Linked DNA regions of Pelodiscus sinensis. The protein of the gene in region 1 interacts with the protein of each later gene in a pairwise test. Links are inferred from orthologs where the notes say so. Each region holds a gene or a part of one and is shown on either strand. Other genes may lie near its edges.

What was found.
Region 2: the proteins of EHD3 (region 1) and MICALL1 interact in binary tests that used the Homo sapiens proteins (3 or more experiments, as listed by UniProt). The link is inferred for Pelodiscus sinensis from reciprocal best matches to the Homo sapiens genes EHD3 and MICALL1.

What each region holds. Positions count from the first base shown.
Region 1 is NC_134713.1:158,566,336-158,581,663, forward strand, and holds the start of EHD3 (EH domain-containing protein 3), read right to left. Parts: upstream 6,345-15,328; 5' UTR 6,091-6,344; intron 1-6,090. UniProt on the Homo sapiens protein: ATP- and membrane-binding protein that controls membrane reorganization/tubulation upon ATP hydrolysis. In vitro causes tubulation of endocytic membranes. Binding to phosphatidic acid induces its membrane tubulation activity.
Region 2 is NC_134711.1:92,177,896-92,192,908, reverse strand, and holds the start of MICALL1 (MICAL-like protein 1), read left to right. Parts: upstream 1-8,495; 5' UTR 8,496-8,993; coding exon 8,994-9,139; intron 9,140-15,013. UniProt on the Homo sapiens protein: Lipid-binding protein with higher affinity for phosphatidic acid, a lipid enriched in recycling endosome membranes. On endosome membranes, acts as a downstream effector of Rab proteins recruiting cytosolic proteins to regulate membrane tubulation.

The DNA.
Region 1 (15,328 bases):
GTGTTTGTTCAAGAACTCCTAAATGGTAAGAGCTAGGACCACCAAGTGGTGTGCAGCTTCCTCTCATCATAACTTAAAGCAAAGTCAGAGTTTGGTTGTGTCAGGAAAATGGGATGTGCATAGAATGTGATTGTTTCTCATCAAACGGAAATGCAGGGCTGTGATAGCCAAGACCGTTATACTCCAGAATGACCACAGGGGGCAGCAAGTGAGGGAACAGTGCAGTTTGCTGCATTCCTCACTCTGGCTGGGGAGTGCAGACGGCAGATGAACCTGGACTTAGCTGGGAACATGCACCCTTCCCCACCACTGTTCCTTTGAGAGCTGCAGTGACTGTGGAGAGGCACCTCTCAACCGGTCCTCAAGCTGCTGCTGTGAGAGAGGGCTGGGGTAATCCTCTCTCCCTGGGGCAGTCTGCATACTGAACCCCTCATCCCCAGGCCCACCCCACAGCAATGATTTCAATGAAGCATGTACTTTTTCATTTTATTTTCCAAAAAACAAAAATTGAGTTAAGGATCTGAGCAATGCCAGGTAAATCTTCTAGTATATCTATGAGAGAGGGAGAGAGAGGATATGTTGTGATCTGTCATACTGCCCCCAAAATGTACCTCAGTCCTCACCTGAACTCTGGGGCGGAGAAGGTAGTGCAGTCTCTGTTGCCTCTTTAGGCTCTGATGTCTTTGTGAAAAGTGCCCGCAAGGGAGCTTGTATTGTGGTGGGTTTCATTTTTATGTCAGCAATCACTACACCTGCCAGCTGAGTAGTATAGTTCATTGGCATTTTAGCCATGTTAGCAAACCTATTGTTTTTCTTTAGTTATGTGTAACATTACTAGGCATAGAACAGCGCGGTTAAAATATGAACTATATTAATCCACCCTGTCTGCCATATATGTGGCTGGCATTGGTAGAAGAAAATCATGGCAAATATTTTCAAACTACATGCCTAGAGGTTGGTACCTAGCTCCACATTTAGCCTCTGACTGATTTCCAGTGATGTCAAACAACCTTTCTCTGGCTGAAGTGTCTTCGAAGCATTACATGCCCTGTGGCCCCTCCTGAAAAGTGGGCACCTTTTATTTAGATACCTAAATTAAGAATGAGGTGTCCCACTTTGACTATTTTAATCTACACTCTTACAGTAATAACTAAATATTATTAAATAGGACATTTATAGCTGGTTGGCCCATAATCTGAGCAACTTTTTCCCTTTCAATGTTTTTAATGCAAAACAACCTTTAATAAAACCACAGTACCAGCAGTCCACAGATGGCAAAAAAATCTGTATATGCCTGTGCTATGACCACACTTCACCAAACCAGTGTACATGTATGACAGAGAGGAAATAACTTTTGGTTACAAAACATTTTGATTTCACAGAGTGAAATTCCTGCCAATTTCCTGAAGTTGACTGGAGTTTTGCCATTGCTTCAATAGAAGCAGAGGTTCATGGGTTTGTCAGATGGATTCCCAGAAATACTGAACACGCGTGCTAAAAATTTGTCAAGCAAAAATACCCCAACAAAAACCATAAATACATAAATACCGAACAAACGTGCTAAAAATTTGTTGAGCAAAACAAACAAACAAACAAACAAACAAACAAACAAAACCCACCACAACTATGCTTAACACTGAATGGGGACTTTATTATAAACATTCAACAGTTTACATCATATATTCTGACTCCCTGAACCTCCCAGCATGCAACCAGCTGAAGGCTCCCACCTGGCAATCCTATTGCCAGGCTGAGCTAGCCTCTCAGAGCCTTTTTTCAGCTGTGGAGGGGAATAAAGGGGGATTCAAGCCTGTCCCATATTCTGGCCATGAGAAGAAGTGGATTATATGCCTGAAAATCTGTGACCAGAAAGTGGAAGGAGCCGTACTCTACCCCCACTCCTGGGCCAGAATGTCTGGCTGGGCTCTGAGCAGAGGGCAGACTGTCTGATGAAAAGGGGTGAAGTAATTTACACTTCCCAAAGAGGACGGGGCTAATTCCCTATTCCCACTGGGAGCCCTCAGCTGGTTGCGTGCGGAAGCCTGGCAGAGGCAGAGGGAGTGGCTGGGGAGGCAGGGCCGCGATCGGTGCTAGGAGCCCCACGTCTCCAGCCACACGTCTCTAGCCACCACACCCACCTCACCAGGCTTCTGCATGCAACCAGCTGAGCTGAGGGCTCCCAGCGCCAATCACGGCCCTGCCTCCCCGGCCACTCCTCCCACCCATGCCAAGTTTCTGTCAGGTGCCCAGCCAGAAAAGCAGAAAATACCGGACATTGCACATGTCTGGTATTTTCTGGATTTTTTTTACTGGACAGAGGGGGCAAAAAATGGACTGTCCGGTTGAATACTGGATACCTAGCAACCTTCGAGGTTCAACATCTCCAGTTTTGGCCCTGTCTGGAATTGGGCACAAGCTGCTCCTGGTTTCATTTATATTAGTGATAGAGTTCCCATTGACTTTAGTGGCAAGAGGGGTGGACTCGAAAGTGCAGATCTAGCAAAGATGACAGGCAAAGGAAAACTTTCAAACTTTTCAGACTTTTACTGAAAAGATTCAGTTTGAATTTTGGCAAACAATTTGTGTTTGTTTCTTCTTTAGGCAAACCTATGTTGCCATTACCATGACATCTGTATGCAGGCTGAGAGCTTATGTGAGCTTACATCCTATCCTTTTTATACTTGCCAATTAGCCCATCATAAGACGGGATTTTCAGGTCTCTCCTCCACATCGGTCTTCTCTCCTGAGCCTCCAGTCTCTCTCTCTCCTCCTACTGCCTCCCACTCTCTCTCTCTCTCTCTCTCTCTCACTCTCTCAGCTCTCCTCTGCCTCCTGCTTCTCTCTCTGTCTCTCTCTTTCTCTTCTTCTCCCCCTCCTGCCTCTTACTCGGGGGTCTGTGGAGCCCAAACGGCCGTTTGGGCTCCACACTCCCTGTGCTGCATGAGGAACGTGGAGCCCAAATGGTTGCTTGCGCCACTTGCTCCCATGCGGCAGCCTGGCTGAGCAGCACAGAAGTCAGCTGAGCGCCATGGTAAGAGGCGAAGGGGGGCGGGGTGGTGATGTTCAGAGCCAGGGGGCGGGGCCTGGAGCCACTGTCACGCCACATGTCACCGTACCGCCCCCCTTCGCCTCCCGCCGTGGCACTCGGCTGACTTCTGTGCCGCTCAGCCAGGCCACCGTGGGGGAGCAAGTGGCCGTTTGGGCCCCGCACTTCCCATGCATCATGGGCTGCCCAGAGGGCAGACACTGGGCTACTATATATATGATTTGCCACGTTCTCTTTTACAACACACTTCCGTAACAAATAATTATTGTCAACAATTCCATTTAATTTTAATGAACAGTAACTATAATGGCAGAATCTGTCCCATGCTGGTTGAAGCCTGCTATATTGCATAAGGTATTAAGCACCACAACATATTATGTATGTTCAGCTCTGCTTTTTCCTCCCCCCGCTTCCCCCCCCCCCCGGAACTTGAATACTCTTTGCAGGTTGGTGTATTGAAAACAGAAATAATTTGTTCCAAAAGATCTAGTTTTTTCTTTGGTTGTACATTGTTTCAGACAGGGAAAGAAAATGTGCACCTTGATAGAAGAGAGATTTAATTTTGCACAGTCTTCACAAAGTCACATTTGTATTTCCACCAACTGTAGCATGGAAATTTGATTAGAAAAGACAAATCCAACAGATTTTTGGTGGCCTGATTCTCCTTTCACGGAAGCCAGTTTAAATCCGAAGTTGCTCCATGGCGGACACTGCAGATACACAGCGACCTCCTATTTCAGTGAGAATAACTGGGAATAAAGGTCAGAAATGTGAAGAGGTTCTGCTGTTGCTCCAGTGATTATGCAGTGTACTATCCAATAGGACAGTGGTCACCAACCAGTAGATCGGGATCTACTGGTAGATCGTGGAGCTTCTGACAGGTGATCTTCACTAGTTTGGCCAAGAGGCTATTATCAAGATTAGCACTTCAGCTGCCCTTCTCCCCACTGCTGTGCACCTCCTGCCCTTTGCCTTGAAGCTCCCTCCGCCCCAAGACTCCTGCTTGTGGCACAGAGCAGGGAAGGGACAGGAGGAGTGCTGTTGTCAGGGTGCCCCTTCTCCCATCCTGTATCCTATCTCCACAGAACAGAGCTAGGGAGCACAACAGAGCTTAGGATGGAGGGAGTTTACTGGCTGCCTTTGGGAGTGATGCAAGGGCTGGGCAGCGGTAAGCCTGCCTTAGCCCCACTGCACCACCACCCAGGAGCCACCTGAGGTAAGCAGCGTCCAGCTGGAGCCAGCTCTGAACCCCTGCCCTAGTCATGAACCTAAACTCCCTCCCAAAGACTACACCCTAAACTCCCTTCAGCACCCCAACTCCCTGCCCCAGACTCAGCGCAGAGCCCCCTCACACTCCAGATCCCTTAGCCCAAGACCAGAGTTTGTGCCGCAACCTGCTGCCTCTGCCTGGTGAAAGGGAGGGAAGATGGGGAAGGGAGGGAGGATGGAGTGAGCAGGGACAGGGCCTCAGAGAAGGGACATGAAGTAGGTGAGGCAAGGTATTTGGGTTTGAGGTAGATCTTATATTGCATTTAAAATTCAAAACGTGATCTTGTGCTTAAAAAGATTGGAGACCACTGCAGTAGGACAATAGTTTTCAGCCTGTGGCCCATGAACCCATGGGCATCTGCAGACTACAGCTAATATTTCCAGTAGGGGCTGCACCAACATTTAAAATTGTTTAGGGGGTCTGCAAATCTTTTATTTGGTTGAAATAAAGGTTGAAAGCCACTGCTCTAGAAGTCAGAGAGCTGATTTTCCATTGCCTCTTCAAACACTGGGCATGTCTACAGAGTCTGAATTATTGTTAATTATTTTTTCTGTATTGGCTTTGCTAAAATCATCCAAACATAAGAGACTATTGTTAGGATATAGATATTCAGGCCTGCCTTTTACGGCCTATACTGTAAGAATTTAGGTGTTTTCCTACAGAGGTATAAAACCAAATAATTAAAATCACAGTATTTGTATATGATGGCCTAAGACCTTATTTTCAAACTGGTTTAGGTTAAGAAACCGAGGCATCCATAAGCTGGGAAACCAGTTTTGGCACATTTTTAGCCAGTGGGTTGATAGCTTTCTATTTGGCGAGGACTTATTAATATTTGGGGTTGCAAAATTTGCAATTTGTATTGCTTTATTATTATGTTTCCCATTTCTCTATTGTTTATTTGTATGGTTCTGACTGGTTCTTTGATTGTTTGTGTCTCCTGAATAATTAATTTTGCTGGGTGTAAACCAACTAAGGTGGTGGGATATAATTGGTTAGATAATCACATTTCAATATGTTAAGATTTGTTAGTTAAATTTCAGTAGAATGATTGGTTAAGGTAGACCTGAAATTATTGCTAAATATATTAGGAACAAACAGGAAATGAGAGAGGAGAAAAACAAGGGGAAAAAGAAAGAAAACTGAAATCATGCTTGCTGAAAGCTAACCCCAGTAAACATGGAAGTTTTTGCATCTCCAGTCTTGGGTATTGCTGTTCTCTGTTGACATTAAAAGGACCAGGGAAGTAGAAGGGTGAAGGGATAAGCCCTCTGTAGGAGTTCGGGGGTGCGATCACCCCCTCTCCGCGGGAGAGGGGGGGTCTGCGAACCCTCTGACCCCTTCTTGATCCCTTGTTGGGTCCCGGGTCCCTGCTAGGGGGCCCCTGTCCTGGGTGCGATCACCCCCTCCCAGGGGAAAGGGGGGGTCAGCGAACCTTATGATAGTTACCCGTCCAGGCGGAGTGGGGCGCCGGCCCCTGGTCGGGGTTTCCCCTCTCTGCGGGGTCCGCATCGTAGTTCTCCTTGCTAGGGTCGTTGGGAGTGGGTTGTTCCTACAGGGGAGGGAAGGGGACCCGGTCCCGCCCCTTTTCCGGGTCCCAGCCCGGGGCCCTGGGCGCCGGGGCTTGCTAGTGCCCCGGCGCGGTGAATGGGGGAAGGGAGGATTCACTCCCTCCTAAGCTCGTCCACCCACGGTCGCCAAAAGCGCCCTGCCCCGGGCTCCTTCCTCCCTCCGGGTGCCTCCTGCGGATCACGCCCGGTGCCCCTGAACCTACCCTGGTTCGGCGGTCCGTGGCGTCCGGTGTCCGAGCGAGGTCTCTGGGGCGGGTTCTCTGGTCCCGGTTCGGCCCTGGCTGTCCCGTTCCCTCCTGGTCCGGCACGGCGGGGTCCGTCCGCCGTCTGAAGAGGGGCTGACCGATTGCCAGGGGCAGTGGCTGTCCCGGAGGCCTCGGGACCAACGCCGGGCCGACAGCCGGGCGGCGTGGCGCTTGGGCTCCGTCCTGTGGCAGGGGCCGCCCCTCCGCCGCTGCGAGGAGCTTGCCCCCTGCCCCGTTGGCGGCGGGCCCTTTTAAATCGGCCCGCCGCGCCGGCCGCCACCCAGGGCTCCGCCCCTTCCGGGCACGTCCCGGCGTGTGGCCCTGCCTGGTAGCCGTGTCCCTCCGCCCCGCCCTCGCCGTGCGGGGCCTCGGGGGACGGGCCGTGCTCACGTCGCCGGCACAGGCGCGGGGGTAGTGCCCCAGTCCACCGCCCCCTCCGGTTCGCGTTGGGGAAGTACTGGGGGATCCGTACCTGGCTGCCAGCCCCCTGCCGGCGGGGGCTCCGGCCGTCCCGCCCCCGGGTCAGTGACAGCCTGTCACACCCTCTAACAACTGTCGCTGCCCTGAATCATTCATAATCTAAGTAGAAAAGACAAGCAAATTACCAGTCATCTCCATTTGTTTCTGTGAGAATTAGGAAGTCATGATAACTGAGGGAAGATGACACGTTTCAGAGGGATAGCTGTATTCGTCTGTTTCAGCAAAATACAATGAGGACTCAGGGGTGCCTTAAAGTCTAGCAAATTTATTTGGGCATAAGCTTTCATGGGCTGGAGCCCACACCATCAGATGTGTGGCAGGGATATATATACACATGCAAAGATGGGAGTGTAGCATTACTATGCGGAGGACCAGCTAACGAGGTCAGTTTGGCGAGGGTGGATGCAGCCCATTCCCAACAGTTGATGAGAAGGTGTGAATATCAAAAGAGGGAAAATTACTTTTTGCAGTGAACTAACCACTCCCATAATCAGGCCTGCTGATGGGGACAAAGAGGGTAGTTGTGGCAGCAGCTGAAGACCTGGGCTCTTTAAATCACTGCCGGAACACTGTGCAGCATTCTTCATATGGCTCTGCGAGGAGGTACTCCATGCTCCAGGAAACATACAGGGCTGACTGCGTCTACCGCCGCCCCTTCCACTTGAGGCCCCGTCTCTTCCAGAAGTGCAGAGCTGGCCCACCTCTCACCTTGCCCAGAGGCCCACAGAGGCTGTCAGCTCACCTGACCATTCTCTTTTTAGCCCCAGCCTAATAATGTCAAGTTTGCATATGAATTCCAGCTCTGAATTTTCATGCTGCAGTCTGTTTTTGAAGTTATTTTGGTCAAGTATGGCAACTTTCAAGTCTATTACTGAGTGTTGAGAAAGGTTAAAGTGCTCTCCTATGGGTTTTTGAATGTAGTTGTTTTTGATGTCTGATTTGTGTGCATTTATGCTTTTGCATACGGGCAGTCCGGTTTGGCCAAGGCACGTGGCAGAGGGGCATTGTGGGCACATGGTGGCATATATCACATTAGTAGATATGCAGGTGAATGAGCCCCTGTTGGTATAGCTGTTGTTGTTAGGTCCTATGATGGTGTGGACGGAGTTGGCAACAGGTTTTGTTGCAGGGTTTGGTTCTTGAGTTAGTATATCTGTTGTGTGGTATGAAGTTGGTGGAAAGGGAGAGCGCTCTTTCATTAACAGAGCATTTCTCTAAATGTGCTATGTTGGCAGATGTAGCATGGTATTGAAGGCAAGCCTTAAATCCTTCACTAAGAACGCTGTCAGGAGGCATTTTTGAACAGCTCCCAGCAAGTCAGAAGCTCTGGCACCTTCTACCTGGTGCTGGGTGGTCCATATAACACACACTTGATAGTGAAAATACCCCGACCAAACTCAAGCTGCATTCAAGAATCTTGCAACCAAATTTGTTTTGCATAAACAATTCCAACTCTGCATGAAAGGCAGTCAGTCAATTTATATCTGCTGAAGACTGACTGGGATGAAAGTGGTCCTCTGTGTTGGCCATTTGATACAAAACACAGTCTTTGCATTTGAATAAGAATGAACAAGTAAGGGATAATAGGGTTTTCAGGCTCTTAAATGTGGTTTTCCTTTTCTAGTAGTCTCCAGTGAAGAGTCACCTTAGAATGGCAATGATAGTGTATGACCACCAGTGCTAGTGTTTATTGTAATCACAGAAACTACAAGAGATTTCATAGAGATAACTTCTTGTGAAAGTGGGATCATTTTGTAAGATTGGAGTGAAATTCTGTCCCACTGAAGCCAATAGGCCAAGATCACCCTTATATTTGTATTCACTTATTTCTGTTGTAGCATTCTTTCATGAAGAATATAAAAGAGCTACATTTGATGGTTCCATTATCTCTAAGGGTATGTCTACACTACAAAGTTAATTCGAACTAACAGACGTTAGTTCGAATTAACTTTGATAGGAGCTACACTAGTGCTCCGCTAGTTCGAACTTAATTCGAACTAGCGGAGCGCTTAGTTCGAACTAGGTAAACCTTATTCTACGAGGACTAAGCCTAGTTTGAATTTACTAGTTCGAATTAAGGGGTGTGTAGCCCCTTAATTTGAACTAGTGGGAGGCTAGCCCTCTCCAGCTTTCCCTGGTGGCCACTCTGGCCAACACCAGGGAAACTCTATTGCCCCCCTCCCGGCCCTGGACCCCTTAAAGGGGCATGGGCTGGCTACGATGCCCGTGCCAGGTGCAAGCCTGCCAGCACCCAGCTGGCAGACCCTGCACCAGGCACGGCTCGAGCCAGCCACCCGATGCCCCCCAGTCCTCCCCCTCTTCCCGGGACCAGGCTGGCGGCTCCCGGGAGCTTGCCCAGAACCGCAAGAGGCGGGCACCCGCCTGGTCTAGTGCGGACATCATGGACCTCGTCCACGACCTCCGCACTAGGCACAGGAAAGTGGCCGTCTAGGGCAGGAGAGCTGCCAGCCTTGCCGTCCAGGAGCAGGTGTGCATGAAAATCAAGGTGGTCCACTGAGACCCCCGACCCTGAGCCCTGAGCTTACAATGGCCGTACTGGGTCAGACCAAAGGTCCATCTAGCCCAGTAGCCTGTCTGCCGACAGCGGCCAACCCTAGGGACCCTGGAGGGGATGGACCGAAGACAGTGACCAAACCATTTGTCTCGTGCCATCCCTCTCCAGCCTTCCACAAACTTTGGGCAGGGACACCACTCCTACCCCCTGGCTAATACCACTCCATGGACCCAACCTCCATCACTTTATCTCACTTCTCTTTTAACTCTGTTCTAGTTGTAGCCTTCACAGCCTCCTGCAGCAAGGAGTTCCACAGGTTGACTCTTTGCTTTGTGAAGAACAACTTTCTGTTACTAGTTTGAAGCCTGCTACCCATTCCTTTCCTTTGGTGTCCTCTAGTCCTTCTATTATGGGAACTAATGAAGAACTTTTCTTGATGCACCCTCTCCACCCTACTCATGCTTTTATAGACCTCTATCCTATCCCCCCTCAGTCTCCTCTTTTTTAAACTGAAAAGTCCCAGTCTCTTTAGCCTCTCTTCATATGGGACCTGTTCCAAACCTCTGATCATTTTAGTTGTCCTCCCCTCTCCCACCCTCTCTCTTCCCCTCTCCCACCTCCTTTTCCCAGTCTCCCCCAGTTTTGTTCAATAAGGAGAGATTCTATTTTTGAACACACATTTTCTTTATTTTGTACATCAGGAAGGGGGGCTAGGGAAGGGTAAGTGGAAGGAGGTGAGGGAGAAATGGGGTATGAGCCCCCGATGGGGAGGACTGGGCTGGCTTTGTGGGCTTCTGGGGGTGGAAGCTCTCCTGCAGCCCCCCAATTGCCCGCTCTCCCCAGATGGCAGCCTGCGGCAAGTGCAGCCGGTCTGATGGCCGAGTGCTGTGATGTGCCCAGTGTGGGCACTCAGGGCACTCCAAGACAGGACTGCTTTGCAAGCAGGGCACCCCTGAGAACTGTCTGTCCGGGGGGTGGGGGTCGGGTCCCTTTAAGTACAGCCCTTGGCTAGCCTGAGGCAGCAGCTCCACGCTCTAAGTTCTCATCTGATGCCCTGTCGGCACTTCTTCCGGCCATCCTTAACCCCGGTTCAGGGTCCACTTAATGTGGACATGCTAGTTTGAATTAGCAAAACGCTAATTCGAACTAGTTTTTTAGTCTGGATGCGTTAGTTCGAATTAGCTTAGTTCGAATTAACTAATTCGAACTAAGTTAGTTCGAATTAGCGCTGTAGTGTAGACATACCCCAAGATACTAAATATTTTAGAATAAATATGTTTTTCCCCCATTGGTTAAATATTTTGTCATCTCTGGTTGATTTCTTTTTATGATCTGACTTACTTAAACAAGTAGTTCTTCCAGCTGATCTCCAAATGGATCATGGAAGTTGGATAGTTCACAATCCCGATGGTGATTACCTGTTCTGCACATATATTCATTGTGGCAGAAAATTACCTTGTTATTGTATTTTTTGCAGGTCAAATTTCTTGCCTCAGTTTCTTCCTTAGTTACTTGAGATAGTGTAGAAGTAAAAGTAAAACAAAAACCTTTAAAGCATTTGCATCTCAACTGAAAATGTTTGAAACAGCATGTTGATTTTTTTCACAATTTTCCAATTTCAAAAATGTTTGTGCATTTTTTCTCTATTTTTTTAAATGAGATAAGTCTGAAGAAATCAACATAGTTCTGGTTAAAAAGGTGCAATTTCTTCTACTGGTTGTCTCTACTATTCATGAACTGTACATCTGCAAAGCCATTCTAATATCTATCCAGCTGTTTTTGAGTGGCTGGATTCTTTTGCTCCATAGTCTGGTTTTGTGGTTGTCTTGCTTTTCACAAGCTAAACCAAGGTCAGTCAGGTCCATCATGGTTTCATAGAATCATAGGACTGGAAGGGACCTAAGTGAGGGGAGGAAGGGAAGAGACAGGGAGGATTAACTCTGTGGGGTTACATCTAGACTACATGCCTATTTCAAAACAGTATCTTTCGAAAAAGCCTCTTTTGAAAAAGAGCATCTAGACAACAAGACGATTTTTTGAAAAAGCAGCTCGCTTTTTCAAAAGAGAGTCTTGATGCTCTCTTTCGAAAAAGCCCTGTTTTCATGCAATAGTGCCTTTTTTCGAAAGATGACTTTTGAAAAAAGGCGTTATTCCTCGTAGAATGAGGTTTACCGCCATTGACAAAACCACCGCGTTCCTTTGATTTACTGTCAACAGAACGCAGCAGTAGTCTAGACGAAGGTACAGTTTTTTCGAAAAAACCCTGTAGTCTAGATACACCCTGGGAGAGCAGCTGTTACAGCACACAAACCAGACATTTTTACAAATAAAAGAGGACGAAGAAAGATGCTTCCCCTACTTTTCTCCAGGTGTCGGCAGGAAGTCAGGGTTCAAGCTGCAGAGACAGAATTGGCGCACGAGGAGGAGGCACTGACCAGGGTTATTAGGAAAGTATCGTGCCCTAACTGATACCCAACCCTCTCCGCTTTGCGTCATCCTGCAGGTGAGTTAGTCCTAACTACTTGGAGGATTTGTGAATGAACGCATGTTTTCCTCAAAACAGCAAGCTTGAGGGTTCCCTGATATCTTCCCATTGTGGTCAAAGAAATAGTCAGGTAGGCCAATTGACTGGAGTATGACTCAACATTGGAGAGCGAGTTAATGACCCTGGTCCCTCCTCCACTCCCAAGAGCGTGCAAGGAGAGCATGCCAGCTCCTACCTATTGCGCCACACTGTGTTTGTAATCTCTGGTTGCTAAACAACAGCCAGCCCCCCCTTTTTTTTTTCTTTTTTCTTTTTTCTTTTCTTTTTACACTGTCTTCCCACCTTCCCTTACAGGTAGAGAGAAGAAGCTTCTCCATCATGGAGACCCTTTGCTCTCACAACCCATCCAACATGGCTGCCTTCATAAACATTCCCTTTAGCCCAAACTTCACGAGTTATTTTCATAATTTGAGAGGGGCAGCATTTAAGTTTCCATTTCTTGTTGGCATTACACCTGGGATTGCATGGTGAAACTTGCTCACATCCCACCGTTTTCTCAAATTGTGGCTCACCTGATAAATCAAACCAGTGAATACAAATGAGGAGCATAATGATCAGAATAACAATACCTATTTCCACAAGAGCCATAATGATTAATGGTTGGAAAGCCCATTCCCTTAGGCTGGATGTTTCCCCTGGTAAGGAAAACAACTGTTGGCATCAGTATGAAAACATAACTGTTTTCCGTAGTCTAGCGGGTATTTTCATGATAGTGGCTAGTGATTGGTGAATTGTTGCCCCTAGCATTCAGCCTTGCTTTTGGAGTTGGTTTAAGTTAGCCGCCAGCTCCATGTGCACCAAAAGCTGACGGAGAAGTCTTTAATTCATGTCCAAATGAATTGGATCTAAATACTTATAAAATTGATAAATTAAGGTTATATTGTGGGCATGCCATGCTTGGGAACTAAACTTACTATCCCATCTATGTAAAATAAAGCCTAAACACAACAAACTAACTTCTTTAGACTAGACATTGATGTAGACCTGTTTTATAGTACAGATGTAGTACCAACTCCTGATGCACACACATCCAGGTTTGGCTATAAGCACTTCAGAGAGGTTAGTAGCATGAGCTATGAAGCTATAGTGACATTTGCAATAGATGTGATCATATACAGATGTTTGTATGACAAAGGGATTCTGCCTGAGGATACCACTGGTACAAGTCTCCCACTACACAATGGTGTTCTTCTGTGGAGTATGCTCCCCAGAGTGATATGCCCTGGGGAACTATGATAAGATGAGTCACGTACATTCCCGAAGGTATCACTCAGTATTCTCAGAAGTCCTTCCCTAGCTGTAAGACTGACATACTGCAAAGTTTTCATATATGTATCATAGGCAAAGTGTAATATTCTCCAGAACTGATGATCTCGTTCAAGTGGACTTACTTGATTCATGATGGCTTGTTTTATTTCTGTTGCTATGACGCCACTATGTCCCTCCCTGACTGTACCGTGCATTGCGACTTGTAAAAGAGCAATATTGGATACAAGAAATAGTCTCAGAAGAATCTAGCTTAACTTCTCTAAGGCCTGGACCACTTTAACGACATTCTAGGAATTAAGTGACTGATACCTTGAGTTACATACCAGGAATTAAGCACTATCAAACTTATACTAAACAAGGAGTTTAATGAATTGGAAAAGGGTTCCTGGAGCTCAGATCACTTATGGCCTAGATTGCTTAACTTCCTAGCCTTTGAGCCAGAATTTAATGCCTATCCTGGCTTCTATTCCTCCCAAGATTGGTACTGTATTTTGGGTTCCTCTAAGATGCGTAGTGGCTGTGGTGTGTAACCAAGCCTCCTGATCTATTGTTAACAGAGGTAAGAACAGAGCTCCATCAGAGTATAGATTTTATACAGTAGGGCAGTGGTTCCCAAATTTTTTGGCATCACACCCCCTTTTGATTTTTGAGAAACCGTCACGCCTCCCCACCTCTTCTTTACCATCATCCAACCCCCCTTTTAACAAAAAAATCAATTAATAATTTAAAATTAAAAATAAACAGAAAAAAATGTTATAAAAATTATTTAAAATCTAATATATAAAGGAGAATGTTTGTATGTTTGTGCTCTAATAACTTGGACACTGCCTACCACAACCAAACTTTCCATGGGATAACTTTTCCTTCAGGAGAAGGTTTTAAGGTACTGTGGGAGGGTGTGACGGGTGCCCCACTGCCCCCCCACTGCACTAGCTCTGCCGGCGTCAATGCTGGAGAGTGTTAGGGTCAAGTGGAGGGTTGGGGGGCTGAACAAACCCACAGGCTTGTGGATGTGAGGGTGCAGGAGTTCAGGTTGGGATGTATGAGGGGCTCAGGGCAGCGGGGTTGGGAGTATGATGGGCACAGGACACAGATTTGCAGTGTGTGGATTGGGCAGTAGTGTTGTGGCAGAAGACTGGGGATGTGATAGGCTCAGGGTTGGGGTGTGTGCGAGGATGCAAGGGTGTTTTGATGTTGCGGCTTGATGGGGGCTTGGCCCCAATTGGGAGCTTGTTGGCCAGACTTCATTTTTAAATAAAATATGTCCAACACAAACATTTCAGCATTGTCTTTATTTTATGGGAGGGTTTGGGAACCTATTTTGGGTCAGGGGTCACTGACTCACAGAAAAATCAGTCAGGGGCCATACAAGTGAGATGCAAAAAAACCCAACCCCTCCACGCCTCTCCAAGCCTCACTGATGTGATCCCAACTGAGACCCCTTCCTCCCCTGGCACTCCAGCCCCATGGTGGGAGGATAGGTAGGACTGAGGATCAAGGCCTGAGGCCAGATTAACTCTTTTGGGGTTCCAGGGTAAGTGGAATTTGTGGGCCCCTCTACACTCTGAGGTGGGGCCAAAAATGAGGGATCCAGTGTGCGGGACAGGGGATCCAGTGTGCCAGTGAGTGGGATAAGGATGGGGTGTAAAATCTGGGTGGAAAATAGGGTATAGGAACAAGCTGGGGGTAGGTGTCTGGCCAGGAGGGAGGGCGCAGGAGCAGGGTGCTGGTGGTGTCTGGGCAGGGTGCTGGATGGGGTCTGGCCAGAGGGCAGGAGCAGGGTGCAAGTGGGGCCCTGGGCAGTGGGCAGGGTGCTGGTGGGGGATGGGACAGGGGGCAGGGTGTAGGTGGGGCTCTGAGCAGGGGACAGGTGAGAGTTTGGCCAGGGGGCAGGGTGCAGATGGGAGTCTGGCCAGGGGTTAGGGTGCTGGTGGGGCTTAGGCAGGGTACAGGTGGGAGTCTGGCCAGGGAGTAGGGTGTTGGTGGGCCCTGGGGCAGGTTACTTATAGGGGTCTGGGCAGGGTACTTGTGGGAGTCTGGGCAGGAAGGGCAGAGGGGCAGATACTTGTGGAGGTCTGGGTAGGGGGCAGGGAACTCGTGAGGGTCTGGGTAGGGGGGCAGGTACTCATGGGAATCTGGGCAGGAGGAGGAGACAGTGACAGCTCGGCTGGTACCTGGGGGTCCCACATCTGTGCGCCTGGTCCAGGTCTCAGGAAGCTCCTGTGCTGCTTTCCCCTCCCCAAACACCTAATGCGTTTCCTGAAATGCCGGTTCTGTCATGCTGCTGAGTACTGTGGTCTCAAGTTGCGGTGGGAGAGGTCCAGGTTGGATATTAGGAAAAACTATTTCACTAGGGGTATGTCTACACTACAATGTTAGTTCGAACT
Region 2 (15,013 bases), on another chromosome or scaffold:
AATGAGGAGGGAAAATTATTGTATTTGCTGCAGGGTGGGAGATTAAGAATTCTGGCATTTTTGGACTCTCTTGTAGTGCTGAAGTGTCCTCTAGGCAAGCTGCTCAGCTCACAATACCACAAAGGACTGAGATTAACTAATAAACAATTGAGTTCTTCCCCTGTGTTTTCAGTACCAGAGACAAACTGCTCTTTAGGAAGAGGGATGGCTGAATTCTTGGGCTGCTATCAATGTGTTCCCTTTCTCACAGCCTTCCCTCTAGGCAACAAGGGTAGGGGACAGGCCACTTCCCTGCTTTCTAAAACTCCTATGAACACCAAGAATCCAGAATACTGTAGGATTAGTAGATAGACAGGGGTACGCTGATCAGACATCCTGATTTTTCCGGGACAGTCCTGAATTTAAATATTCTGTCCCAGTGTCCCCATCAAGTAGTGAAGTGTCCTGGAAAGCCCTGCCTGACATTTCACTACTTGATGGGGACATCGGCTTGTGGGAAGAAGTGATGGATCTCAGCAGCTTCCTCCCTTCACCACTGCCCCAGGAGGGCACGTAGGCAGCTCCATTGGATCTTTGCTGGTGGGCAGCCAGGCAGGCTTCCGGTAGCATGCGACCCCTCTCTCCCTCCCCAGCCCCCTTCCCTGAAGGGACCGCCTATGCCACGCAGGGTCCTGGTCTGGCGGCACCACCTCCTCCTCCTCCTCTGGGCCACTTGTTAGTACAGTGGCTGCTGCTGCCACTGCTGTGGGGCTGGGTGGAGCCACTCCTGGGCCTCTGTGCCTTGTAGCCGTGCAGAGCCCGGCTGGAGTGCTGCAGGGCGGGGTGTGCTCGGGCTTGGCAGGTGCCAGAACTGCAGCAGGCGGCTGCATGCGGTGCTATTTTTAGTACTGCAGGCGGCCCCCGCTCCAGCTGGAATCAAGCAGCAAATAGGGGGGCGTTCCAGCCGGGGAAGCCTTACCAGAAGGGGCCTTGTGTGGCTGTCACATGACTCCTGCTGGAGCTGGGCAGCCCATGGGGACCTGGACCGTGGAACTAAAAATAGAATCACGGGTGGCCTCTGTTCGAGTCCCAACACACAGTCCCTTTCTGGGAGCCGTTGGGGCCAGGCTAATATACTAAAAATAGTACCATTGCCCCGCCACTGGCCCCCACAAACTGCTTTCCATGTCGAAGGTAAAATGTGAGGGAAGGGGCAGGGGGAGAACTAAAGTTGGAAGTAGGCATTAGAGAGAAAGGGTCTTGGGCTGAAAGGAGTGGGGGCAGGGCAGGAGAAGAAAGGGGAAGGTATCAAGGGCCAGGGTAGAGGAGAGACAAATGCCAGGGTGTCAGAAGAGACAATGAGGAAAGGTAGGAGAGGAGGGAAGGTGTCAGTGGGGGTGGAAGAAGGTAGGGGACAGGGTGCTGCTGGGAGAGGGGAGCAGTGGATGCCAGGAGATGAGGGGTTGAAAGGAGGGGTGGGCGTGAGGAAGATGGGATGGAGCAAGTCATGTGTTAGGGCACAGAGAGGCGTGAGGGGAACTGGGGCAGAGGGTGGGCACCAGGGAGAAGGAGGGCAAGGGCAGTGAGGGCAGGTGCTGGTTTGAAGCACCAGGAAGTGTAGGGGTAAGGGAAGGTGCATGTGCCAGGGGTAATGTGGGGGTGAAGCAGAAGGGTAGACACATGGAGGGGTGGGACTGGCGACAGGAGAGAGGCAGGGCAGGTGGGTAGAGGGAGGTGTTAGGAGAGGGGATGGGGAGAGAGAGCTACAGATGATCAGAGTGGGGCTAGAGGAAGAGTGGATACAGGGGGAAGAAAGGTCCCCAAAGGGCTGAGGGGAGTGAGATGGGCAGGAGTCAGGACAGCAGAGGAGGATGAGAGTAGGGGGGGCAGCAGGCACCAGGGGGGCAGATGGGGTGAGGGAAGGGTAGGAGACATGGCATCAGAGTGAAAAGGGAGAGGTTTATAAGATATTTATTAACTCAGGTGCCACAGTGGTATACATCTGAACAAGCGCACATGAACTCAATACTGGTGCACAAGACAAAATTCACTCCTCATGAGAGGAAAATCTTGAGGGGACACTTCCCCCAGCCTCTCCTCCTGAGTTAATGCAATGCAAGTTGGGTTAATACAATTGCAGAATAGTAGCTTACGGGGGGGGGGGGTTCTGTGGGAGCCAAACCCATCCCTATTGGTTGGAGTTCTTAGATGAGTCCCATGACACCCTTTACTTCAGTTTGTGTCCATCTTGACCCTGGGAGTACTCTTAAGGGTACGTCTAGACTACATGCCTCTGTCGCCAGAGGCATGTAGATTAGGCTACCAGACATAGGAAATTGAAGATGCGATTTAAATAATCGCCGCTTCATTTACATTTACGTGGCTGCCGCGCTGAGCTGACAAACAGCTGATCAGCTGTTTGTCTGCTCAGCGCGGCAGCCATGTAAACTTAAATGAAGCGGCGATTATTTAAATCACCGCTTCATTTTACTATGTCTGGTAGCCTAATCTACATGCCTCTGGCGACAGAGGTATGTAGTCTAGACGTACCCTAAGGGTGGGACTGCATGGCAGGGGGTGTGGCTAATGTGTCCCCAAGTTTGTTTCAGTATGGGTACCATAGGCAGGGGCTACTAGTCATGTGGCCTGGGGCTGGAGGAGTTTATATATCTAATTGATCATCCATTCTCTCGCCTATGCTCCTATCTGCAATTTAAACAGCCAATGACTGTTTTTTTTTGCTGGTTTGAGGTAAAAGGGCCTGATGACTTACTAAGAGGGTGGTGTGTGTGTGTTGTGTGGTGTTTTTTTTTTTTTTTTTTTTTTTAAAGGAAGTGGATTCTGTTTGTTTTTACCTCAGGAATGTTAAGTCTGTTCTGATTGGATTTGGGTTTTCTGGAGACTCAGCTGGTGGTCTTGCAGACAGCATGGTATATGAGATCCTCTTTCCCACACATTCACTGGGGGCTGGGGAAATGTTTTGCCAATACCAATTGATAGAGAAGGAAATTTAAAGTAAATCTATGTTTTGACCTGTGCTAATTTCTCTAGTTCTCCAGTCACCAGCTCCTCTCCAAGGCTAGCCAAGATTTGCATATCTGATAGTTCTGCTTTTAAAAAAAAAAAAAAAAATCTTGGGCATTACTTGAATAGGCTAATGAAGCAAAAAAGAGCCAGCCCTATTTTTTTCTGCTTGCAGACAATCTTTAAATAGTTTGAATGAAGCAACAGGTGCAAGGGAAGGACCTTTGGGTGAAGAGAAAGCATGTGCCATATGAACAATTGTTAGTATCCATTCCTGTCTAAGAGGGTCTTTGCAATCAGCTGTTGGTTATTTAACATACTATTTTCTGTTTAGTGTTCTGCAAGAATTAGATTTCATTTTTTCCCCTTATTTGACCGATGGGTGTGTCTAATACAAGGCACTGTCCAAACATAAAATATATTTCCTACCCCCCAAAGAGGTCAGACTCTGAGAAAACAGGCAACCTGGCAAGAGTGGAAGGGGAGAGGGCATCAATCATTTGTACTGATCTTCCTCCTAGCTGCTATTAGTTGGCATTTTCTTGTAGATATCACACTACAAGTGGGTCTTGAGGGATTCAAAGAGGAGATGGTATAGCCCTCATGCCCCAGTATAGGGAGGGTGTACGAATGCATCTGCTGGCTGTGGGGAAAGAGCCAGATGCAGGTACATGAGGCTGGCATTGCTGGACCATGGAACATCTGCCACTAGTAGCAGAGTAAGTAATTATGGCAGTGCACAGTGCCCCTTCTGTGACCATTTGTGCAGAGCATCCAACACTAACATCTTTCTCAAAATGGGCTGAGGTAGAACTGTGGAGTTACTGAGCTACTCTTATTTTTCCAAAAAGTGTAGTGGGAATCTCAATTTCCCTTGGGCCAGCAGCCAACTTCAGTGGACAGCAGCATATTTGTTTCACCATCTCTTCTGCAGAGAGACATCCACCACGGCAGTACCTCTGTTTAGAGTAGCAAACAAATGCAATACCCGTTTTCTGTAAAGCAAGAACTGCCAGTGGCACCCTGCCTACTCCTAATCTGTCACTGGTATGTTAGGATTATAGACACTCTAATTGTACATGTGCTCTTAAACCTTAAATAATTAGTCATATGCATTGTTTTCAGATAGTCAAATATGCCACTTCCTCAGCTTGCATCTGTCAAAAGATTTGCTCATGATGCACATAATGTATCTGTTACTCACTTGCAACCAGTGTGACTGGTTCTGTGCCCTCAGAGAGGAGGCTGCAAAAGGTTAAATGATGGGGGCTGGCTTTGTGGAAACAAGCCAAAGGAACTGCAGTCCTAGCATAACGTGGAAAGATGGACTCAGCCAGACATGGTGCCTGGCACTGTCTGAAACTGGAGAAATGCAGGGCATTCAGCAGCAGAGTCAAACTGTTGGAATGTCACTAATGCTGTTCTGGAAGCGAAGGGGGAGATGGCTTTGTTATAATCCCTACCTTCAGCCTCATTTGACTCTAGCCCACGGTGGCAGTACTGGCCAAAAATCAATAGGCCATCAGCACAGGATCACAGACGGAATACTGGGATAGATCAGTGTTTCTCAACCAGTGGTACGAATACCCTTAGGGGTACTCGAAAGAAGACTGGGGAGGTACATCAACACCACTGAAATTTGGAGAAAATGGAATTTTTGTTTTAAGTTTTACAGCACTTTATTATTTTTGTATTTTTTACACCCAAAAATCGCCCACCCGGCTATGATTAAGTTGTTTAAACAAATGTGTTGCAATGGTAGAAAAAAATGTGTCTGAAAAGTGTAAAAGGTCCTGGGGGTACTTATAATTTTTTTTAAAGTGGTACTTTATTTAAAAAAAAAAAAAAAGTCGAGAAACACTGGGCTAGATGGACCTTTGGCCTGACCCAGCATGGTTGTTTTTATGTTCATTTTTGGCTAATTTATTATTTGCCAAAAAGAACTGGGCAGACTCCATAGAGCTCAGGAACAAGGACTGCAGGCAATTGCTCTGCTTCTCAGCAGTAATAACTGCCTGCAGCAAGAGGTGTCTCAAACTTCACCACCTTCCGCTCCAAGTGTGGAGTCCTCTTTTTTTGATCTGACGTTTACCAATCTAAATATATAATACAGTGTATGTATGCATTTAAAATATCTTCACACCATTTCCTCTTGAGTTGCGGACAAGAGACAGGAAGAGCCATATTTACAAGCTATTAGTCATGTTGCTTAATGCACTACTGGAAGATGTTCATATACCACAGTGATGAAGGCTGTACTAGAGCCAGGACAGAACATCAGGAATCACTTACTAACAGTGTGGTCTATTACACTGTGGAATAGCATCACCAGAAAAGCAAAGGAAGCTTCACTATTTGGTAACATAAAAGGCTTTGGAGAGTTTACTTCAGTTAACTACCTTGCTGGGCTGTGTGGGGGTGATGGAGATGATGTGGTCCAATATGCAGCCCTATGCTCTGAGTATCCCTAGTCTCTGTTTGCCATGCCAGAAACTGGGTGTGGACTACAGGGGAGGGATCATGTGATAATTGCCTGTTCTGTTCATTCCCTCTGAAGTACCTAGCACTGGTGGAAAGTCAGGATACTAGGTAGATGGACCATTGACCTGATCCAGTATGGCTGTTCTTATGTTTATTCCCATCTCGTACTACTTGGCTATGTCTACACTCGCAGCTTCTTGTGCAAGTATGGCCGTTCTTGCGCAAGAACCCGCAGAGCGTCCAAACTGCCTGCCTGCTCTTGCGCAAGGAAATTTACAGTACGGCGTGGTATGAGAGAGCTTCTTGCGCAAGAGCTATGCTCTTTTTTTATCAGGTGTAAGCCCTCTTGCGTAGGAGCTCTTGTGCAAGAGGGCAGTGTGGACACTCAGCAGGGATTTCTTGCACAAGAAAGCCCTATGGCTAAAATGGCCATCAGACCTTTCTTACGCAAGAGAACGTCCACGCTGCCATGGGTGCTCTTGTGCAAAAGCACAGCTTGCACATGGCAGTGTGGACCTTTTCTTGTGCAAGACTTCTTGCACAAGAACTCTTGCGCAAGATGTTCTTGCGCAAGAAGACGCCAGTGTAGACATAGCCGTTGAATGCTGTGGATTAGACAAAATGACAAAAAGCTCATAGCTCCTCATTCCTGAGATTGGTGTGGGCTATACTGAAGGGTTAAGACAGTATAGAGGATGGCCAAGCAACAAAATACTCCTCCTAGCCCCAAAGACTTAAACTGTCTGTCCTCTCACGTTGATGTTTTGAAGGTCAGGAGCCATGTTTAAAGTTTGTTTGGGATCTGTTGGCATTGCTTTGAGGCTGTGTCTACATTGGTATGATCTTGCGCAAATACTCTTTAACGCAAGAGTTCTTGCATTAAAGTATTTGTGCAAGAGAGCGTCTACACTGGCATGTGCCTTTGCGCAAGAGATGTGCTTTTGTGCAAGAGCATCCGTGCCAGTGTAGACGCTCTCTTATGCAAGAAAGCTCCGATGGCCATTTTAGCCATCAGGCTTTCTTGCACAAGAAATTCATGTTGCCTGTCTACACTGGCCTCCTGCGCAAGAACAGTTGCGCAAGAGGGCTTATTCCTGAGTGGGAGCGTCATAGTTCTTGCACAAGAAGCACTGATTTAACACATTAGAACGTCAGTGTTCTTGCGCAAGGACTCCCCGCCAGTGTAGACAGGAAGCATGTTTTTGTGCAAAAGTGGCCACTTTGTCACAAGATCATGCCAATGTAGACACAGCCTGAGTCTGAGGGTTGCATGGCATTCCTTTGATAGAATCCCCAGGCACCTAAAACATCTACCCCAGTCCATGATTGCAAATAAGTTCTGAAACCTCATTGCAGGATCCATAAATTGTCTCCACCAAAGGTAGGGGGTATCCTATACAGTGTGCAGAGGTAGGAATATTACACCTATTCTGTCGTAAGATTTTCCATTGTCAGTCAATGAGTATCCAAGACACCCTATTGGAACTCAGGAGACCTGAGGATGCATTGCCAGCTCTGCCGTTGATCTGCACTGTGACTGTAGGTAAGTCACATCATTTCTCTGAGCCTCCATTTCCCCATCTGTAAAACAAATTACAATACTCACCCTCCTTTGTGAAGTGCTTTCAAATGTTGGGGGAGAAGTACTACAAAAAACCAACCTACTATTAAACTCTGCCCCAAGTACTTTGTTCACATCCTGCCTGTAGGGTATGGGCAATGAAATATTTTCAGCACACCAGAAAGCAGTGGAGGAAGTGCACAGAGCAGGCGCCAATAGATTGCAAAAGGAATTGTGGCTTGCAGTGGTATGCTTTATTAATACTAGGTTGAGAGCAAACCATGCTCAATCAGGACATTCCATTCTGAGGTAGCAAATGCCTAGAGAACTGGAAGAACAGGCCCGAAGCATGGAGGAGGCAGGGCTGGTAGTTGTCTAGGGCAGCAAAATGTTTAATAGCTGGCTGGCTGCAGTCCAGTAAGACTGTGGGAGTTCAGGAGAGTTAGTAGTTTGCTTATGGCAGCAGAATGACTCAGGCTCTGTAGATGTGGGGGAAAGGAGAGACATACTGTATATCCTAGATTTCCAAGCTACCCATTCTCCTCTCCCTCCTTCGGCTCCAAATGCACCACAATATCCCTATTGTTTAGACAGGGTGCCTGTTACGCACAATCCTGCTGTTCTCTCCAGCTGCCTGAGGGAAGGAGCTCAAATTAGGCCATCCATGCCAGACTACTGACTTTGGATGCAAGGTATTGCCCATTTTTCTCCACTGGACTAGTAAGGAGGAAGGGAGAGGGATCTCCAAAACAGCACCAACAAAACACATGCCCTATCACACCCAGTCTGAGTCATACCCTGCTCCGGTCTCTGATTTGGTTGCAGGGTTTCCCCATACTAGACATACATCTCCCCTGCTATCAGATGCCCTCATGTGTGGTTTTAAGTGAGACTGTAAACGCCCTGTGACCGTGACTTTACTGTGTGGTAAGCACCTTGCACCCCATCTGGGGCTGTATACACAATGTAAATAAAATATCCTTATCCGTAACCTGCAGAAGCCTTTCAAACTATGACCGTGAGAGTGCAACTTCATAACTCTGCTAAACACTATCCAATCCGTGGACTGACTGAACAGACACAGTGTATTTAGGATTTATTACAATTTGAAAGCACTAGCCCCCCCTTTTTTCCCCTAGGCCTGTGAGAGGTGTTAGTGGACACCCTACCCTGAATGGTTTCTCACTAGTGCTCACTATTTAACGTCGTTCCACGTGGCTGGGACTAGCTTTCCCAGCCCTCAAGAGCGCCCTACAGGTCCAAAGCGTCCCTCTCTCACCAACAAAAGAGGGGCCAATAAAAGCTATTACCTCGCCCACCTTGTGGCTCTCGTTATTCCTAGTGTCAGACGCGCTGACCCCCCCCCCCCCCCCCCCGTGGCATCTCCATGCGCTAGCTAATACCAGGCAGGGAGCCCCCGTGGCACATACCCTACCTCCCTGGCCGTGCGCGCTGCGAGACTACGGGCGGGCCCAGTCACGGTACCTGCCCTGGGCCAGCTGGACACGAGGCAGCGGGTGGCAATGCGGGCCACTCCTCCTTGCCCCCGGGCACGCCGAGCGCCCATGCGCTGCTCCAGGGCCCCTGACCCGTGCCTGGCTGGGGCCCTCCCCGCCGCGGCTCGGGCTGGGGAAGAGCCGAGCCGGGCTGGGCGGAGGAGCGGCGGGGACAGGTCTGAGCAGAGCCCGGCGCGGGGAGGGAGGCGCAGCCGGCGCCCGCAGGGGTAGGAGGGAGCAGCGAGCCGCGGCGGGGCACGGAGCGCAGCGGAGCCCCGAGATCCCCGCCCTGCAGGCGGAGCCCCCTGCCCGCTGGGGCAGCGCGCCGGGGACAGGAGCCCGCAGGCCGCTGCCGGAACCCGCCCAGGCTCGGGCCGGAGAGCGCGGAGCCCGGCCCGCCTCCCCATGCGGCTCCCCCCGGCGGCGGCGGCCTGAGCCCCGGATCCGCCCCGATGTCGGGTCCCCGAGGCGCCCTGCAGGCCTGGTGCCGCCGCCAGTGCGAGGGCTACCCCGGCGTGGAGATCCGCGACCTCAGCAGCTCCTTCCGCGACGGCCTGGCCTTCTGCGCCATCCTGCACCGGCACCGGCCCGACCTGCTGTGAGTACCAGGCCTGGCCGCGCCGGGCTCGCCTCAGCCCCCACCCGGCCACCGCCGGGGCCGCTCGGGGACTCCGCCCCGGCTCCTTCACGGGGGGCGGAGGCCACACCGGGAGCCTAGGGGACTGGGGGGACCCTGGGAAACGCCCTGGGACAGCGCGCCCAGCTCCTTGGGACAGAGGGAGAGACGCCGGGAGCCCGTCCTCATACCCGCGCTGTAGGGAGGTGCCCCCGAGACCCAGAGTGTAGGGGAGGGAGCCGTGGTGCATCCCTGGGATATAGGAAAGGCGAGGCCACGCGCCTGGGAGCTGGTGCAAGGAGCTCTGGGACCCCTCCTGCCCGTAAAGGGCGTTAAGAAAGTGGGTTTGTTTGTCCTGGGATTTAAGGAGACTGAAGGGCAGCGGGAGACATTAGGTGGGGAGAATAACTAACGAGGAGTGAGGTGGGGTGCTGGGCGACCGGCTCCTGGGCGCACCTCAATCATTTCCTAGGCTGTAAGGGGGGGTTCTTTCACACTTACTGCGTCCGACCAACCCTGTCCCTTGGAATTTAATAGTAACTACACGTTACATGTGACTAGGAACTCTGAGACATGGATCTGAAAACACTTTATCATCCTTATGAGTTAAGCTTCAGAGTCTCCATTAATTATTACTCTGGCTTTGCTGAGGCACAGAGAGATTATTTGACTTGCCCACATTATTCCGTTTGTGGCAGAGTTTGGGAACAGAACCCAGAATTTTTTTGTTCCCAGTCCCCCTGCTAATCATGAGACAAACCACTCTCACATTTGAAAAAAATAAATAGTGAAGGAAAAGTGAGGCTTCGGGAAGGTGCCATAATGCCTTTCTCTGGAACCGTCTCTATCAAATTGTAGAGCAGGGTGTGGAATCTGTTTTGGGTCAGGGGCCACTGACCTACAGAAAAATCAGTAAAGTGCTGCAGCACACAAGTGAAAAGAAAAGCCCAATCTCACTAGTGTGGGCTCCCCAATGCTGGGAGGAGCCCTGAGCCTTAGGGACTGGATCCAGGCAAGCTGGGAGCTGCATCCAGTCCCCAAAGTCTTAGAGGATCGTCTATGGCATTTTTGCATTTATTTTGAAATTTTCCAGAACTGTCTCAGTCAATAAGATTCTTCCTTTAAAAACTTCCAACCGTAGTTTTTAAATGTAGCATATATGGAGCAAAGCACTGGAGAATATGATGTAGGGAACAGTCCTGCACTGGTCACAAATGATAGCCGGACAAAAGTTACCTAATGGGGGGAGGGACAGCTCAGTAGTTTGAGCATTGGCCTGCTAAACCCGGCGTTGTGAGGCTATTTAGGGATTTGGGGCAAAAATTGTCAGGGATGGTACTTGGTCCTGCTGTGAAGGCAGGGGACTGGATTCAATGACCTTCAAGGTCCCTTCCAGTTCTAGGAGATAGGCAATCTCCATTTATTTAAAATTTAAATTTAATTTAGGTGTCCTTTGTAGGTTATTGTGATTCTGTATATTTCAGTGGAAGAGGGTTGTGTTCTGTTTCAGCTTCTTCCTGACCTAATTAAATGCCAGGGAGTAGGGCATACTACTTCAGCAGGGGACTTTTTGATCTTGGGCTAGGGGAAGCTGAACTAGTACAATGCTGTGCTGAATGACAGAAATTAATTAAGAGGACAGAGGAAAATAGCCACTAGGGCTTCCTACCGTGCTAACAGCTTGGAATTTAGTATCCTCTGCACTCCTTTCGCAGAGGGCTCTTGGGTAGAGGGGGGTGGATTAAGAGACAGGTTAATGAGAGGGATGGAAACAGGTGAGTTTGGGAGTGGGCTTGCTGGGGGTGATGATCTTCTCCCAGAGAAACCATATAGGCAGGTGAGATGATTCCTCCTCCTCCCCCCGTAAGCTGCATGCTGTGTACACCTGTCTGTTACAGTCTTTGCTGTGACTAGTGAACTGATGCTCTCCCCTTGTGGTTAGTACATACAGTTCTTCTCACTGTAGACAAGTGTCTGAAATCTGACATATGGCTCTCCATGTTCCTTCCATAACCAAAGCACTTATCTTACCACCCCAGCTGAGGTTGCTTCCCACAATAGGCCAGGAATGTTAACTTGTTTATTTTTGTGAACGTGTAACAGCTGACTTTTTTAGTGGCTACACTTTTACATGCAGGGGGGACAGGTGAGAGCCAGTGTTTTGATAGAGAGGCAGCAGCGTGGTGGGGCACATGGCTCTGCAGGTGCTGGCACACACATGAGCCAGCTTGATACAGAGGCAGCAAGGGGTGTGTGTGTGCCTGTAACTGTTAGGATTATCAGTTAATCATGTCCCAACAAAGATTGGTACCCAATCAGTGTTCCCTCTAATTTTTTCCATTCATGTGCAGAATAAAATTTGTTATGTGCACCAAGGCATGTGAGAATGTGCACTCCTGGTAGAAACATATGCTGCTAGTTGTGGGCACTTTGCTAATCAGCTGGGCGGCATGTGAATCTTTCCTGGGTGGCTACCCAAGCACACAGCTAACAGAGAACACTGTATGCAATTAATAGGAGAAACTGTTTTAATTTTAATGCAGCTGAGGAGCTGCTGCACCCATCCTATTACAGAATGGGCATGTATAGTTAGGAGAAGGTGCTATCTGAACAGAGACCAGCCCTATTGCCTGCATATTTCAGGAGTCAGCTGCACAATGCTCAGAAAACTAAAGAGGCAAACTAAAACAGGGACAAGCATCAGAGGGGTTGCTGTGTTCGTTTGTACCCAACAAGGAGTCCTGTAGCACCTTAAGGACTAAAATTTATTTGGGCATAAGATGTTGGGGGCAAAAGTGGTGCTGATGAAGAGGGTTTTTGCCCACTAAAGCTTATGCCCAAATAAATGTGTTGGTTTTTAAGGTGCCGCAGGGACGAGCAGCAATTCTTACCGTGGTCTGTGCGCGTGTGTTTGGTGTGGGTTTTTTTTTTTTTTTAATCTCAGCTATTGGGGGGCTCAAAAGCAAACCAACTGGGCCAGCATGAAAGTGGGAAACAGTAGGGTTTTGGGTAGCACTGCTAAATCATCAGAAGGTTTCTCATTAAATGGAATTACTATCCCTCTTAAGTATCAGCGAGCTCAAATCTGTTGCCTGGCAGATGTCCTAACTAAGAGCATCTCAGTTAACTGGAGTGAATGGTATTGTAAAGACAAGCCTAGGACCTTACAAGGACATAGCGTGTTAAGGAAGGATTTTTCAAGGGGTAGCCAATGGGCATGCCATCTCAGCTGATTTAAGCCACTTCACCATGTCCTGATTTGGAAACTCAATAATATGGAGCAATAAATCTCTCCGACAGCTGAGAAAAAGCATTCCCCCTGTTCTTTTAAATTGTATTTATAAAGCACCTTCAATCTTTTAGTAATAGGATCTGGCTAGTAATTGTAAATAGCCTTCTGCTGCATGGGCTTCCAGCGTGATGGGCCATTCCAGCTGCTTTCCTTCAACTGTGCTGCTGCACATGCCGATTGCAATAGTATGAACCCAAGAGACCCTGACGTTTTGCCTACACATGCATTCATGTGCTCTCATGTTCCAGCTCCATCAGGGTGTGAAACAGCATATCCATGCAGGTGCTGTGCTCAGGTGGATGGCACTCAGTCATGGAACTCACTCCTTTGTAATAATGCTCCGCCAGCTCTCTGCTCCTCAGGATTTCTTCTCGGTTTGTGTCTATCTCTCTATCCAGTCTATGTAAAACCCCATGGCTATCTATTATCTCTGGACGCTCTTGCTGCATGAGTGTTCAGCCCAAAACAGCTGCTGTGGCAGCAGGTGACATTTACTTGTATTGATAAGTTCTTGTTTGAGAAGAGGGGTGTGATACCTTTTCATGACATTGTGGAGAGACCATACCCCGTCTCTTACCATTGTTGAAATTAAAGCTACTTCCGCTCTTGTTCCACGCTTGAACTCTCCTCAATCCACTCATACCGGCCCCATTCATTTGAAATTGTGCAGATGGAATTTTAATGCTGGGCATAAATACACTATCCTGGAAAGCTTCAGGCAAATGGGCCCAGGCTTTTGGAAGCTCTGAGTGTCTAAAAAAAGTAGTGAGAGCTGCAAGTGCTTAGCCACTCTGCAATTTGGCCTAAGGTAGCTCAAGTTGGGAACCCAAACTCAGTGGCCACTGTTAAAATAGGAACCTGAGCAATTTGCTCCTGGGTACTGTCGTAGATGGGGTTGGGCACAGGAGTGGCAGTCTGGAGATGTGGCTTCTAATCCTGCCTTTGACTCCCACTGGCTTTGTGACCTTGGGGAAGTTGCTCAATTTCTCTGTGCCTTTTCCCTCCATCGGTAAAATGGCAGCAAAGGAAGCAGTTTTGTGGCAGAGTTCTGGACTGAGATTCAGGAGAGGTAGGTTCAATTTGTGGCTTTGCCAGAGACTGTGTGTGACCTTGGGAAAGGCACTTAACTCCCCCCCCCCACCCCATCTGTAAGACTGGACTATAATATATCCAGGCATATTTCACATGGGGGCTGGGAGGATTAATTAGCTGATGCTTAGACTATGTTTTGAAAATCTAAAGCACAAAATGGGTACGTCTAGACTACATGCCTCTGTCGCCAGAGGCATGTAGATTAGGCTACCAGACATAGGAAAATGAAACGGCGATTTAAATAATCGCCGCTTCATTTAAATTTACATGGCTGCCGCGCTGAGCCCACAAACAGCTGATCAGCTGTTTGTCGGCTCAGCGCGATAGTCTGGACACGCGGGTGTCGACATCAAGGTAAGCCTCCTGGGATGAGGTTTACCTGGGTGGTCGACAAATACCTTTGGTGTTGACACCCGCGCGTCCAGACTACAGCGCTGAGCCGACAAACAGCTGATCAGCTGTTTGTCGGCTCAGCGCGGCAGCCATGTAAATTTAAATGAAGCGGCGATTATTTAAATCGCCGTTTCATTTTCCTATGTCTGGTAGCCTAATCTACATGCCTCTGGCGACAGAGGCATGTAGTCTAGACGTACCCTATAAGTACAGTAGACTTCCGATAACCCGGGACCTATGGGACTTAGGTGGTGCTGGAATATCAGATATCCCGGACTAGCAGGAGGTACTATAAGCAGGTTATATATATACTGTATACATTATATACTGTATATAAAGTGTTCTTAACCCTTTTTATTGTACATACTGTATACAGTATACTGTAATGTTTTAGTTTTTTTTAAGCCTTTTTTACCCTTTTTGCTCAGTTCAGCTGCTGCCGCTGTTACCTTGTGACTCATTTTTTGCCGAAGCTCACTCACTAGGCTCTTGCCATTTTGATGCCAGACTATCAGGAGTGCCGGACTATTGGATGTTAGACTATTGGAGTTTTACTGTATTAGTAGGCTCCCCTTGCAGCTATACATGTGGGAGAATGAACATCTCTTCCCCTACCTTGTACTGCTGTCTTGCACAGAGCCTGTGACAGGAGACTTTCAAAGTATAGACACCAAAAGAATAAGATAATGTCTGGCCATGGTATTCTCAGTGGAGAGAGAGAAGCAGACGTGCTGAAAATGAGAGGGAAAGGAGGGACACACCATAGCAACATGATAGCTGACATATTTAGGCTGCCTGGAATCATCAGTTCAAATCCCAGCAGGCTCAACTCCACTATTCTTCTATGAGCGAGGTAGATTTCCATTCTGTTTGCTGTGTGGATTTGTCAGGGAGGGACTTAAAAGCTGAAAGTCTTCCTGCTATGAGTGGCCATTAAGGAGCCCACAACATATTTTGGAAAAAATATTGACAGTTGCTCTAGTGTTTGCTGTATTAAATGCCCCCTGCCTTCCAGTATTTTGTGGGCTTGTTGGCTGCTGCCCTAAGCCACAGAGGCTCCTGCTGCTGCTGTATCTACA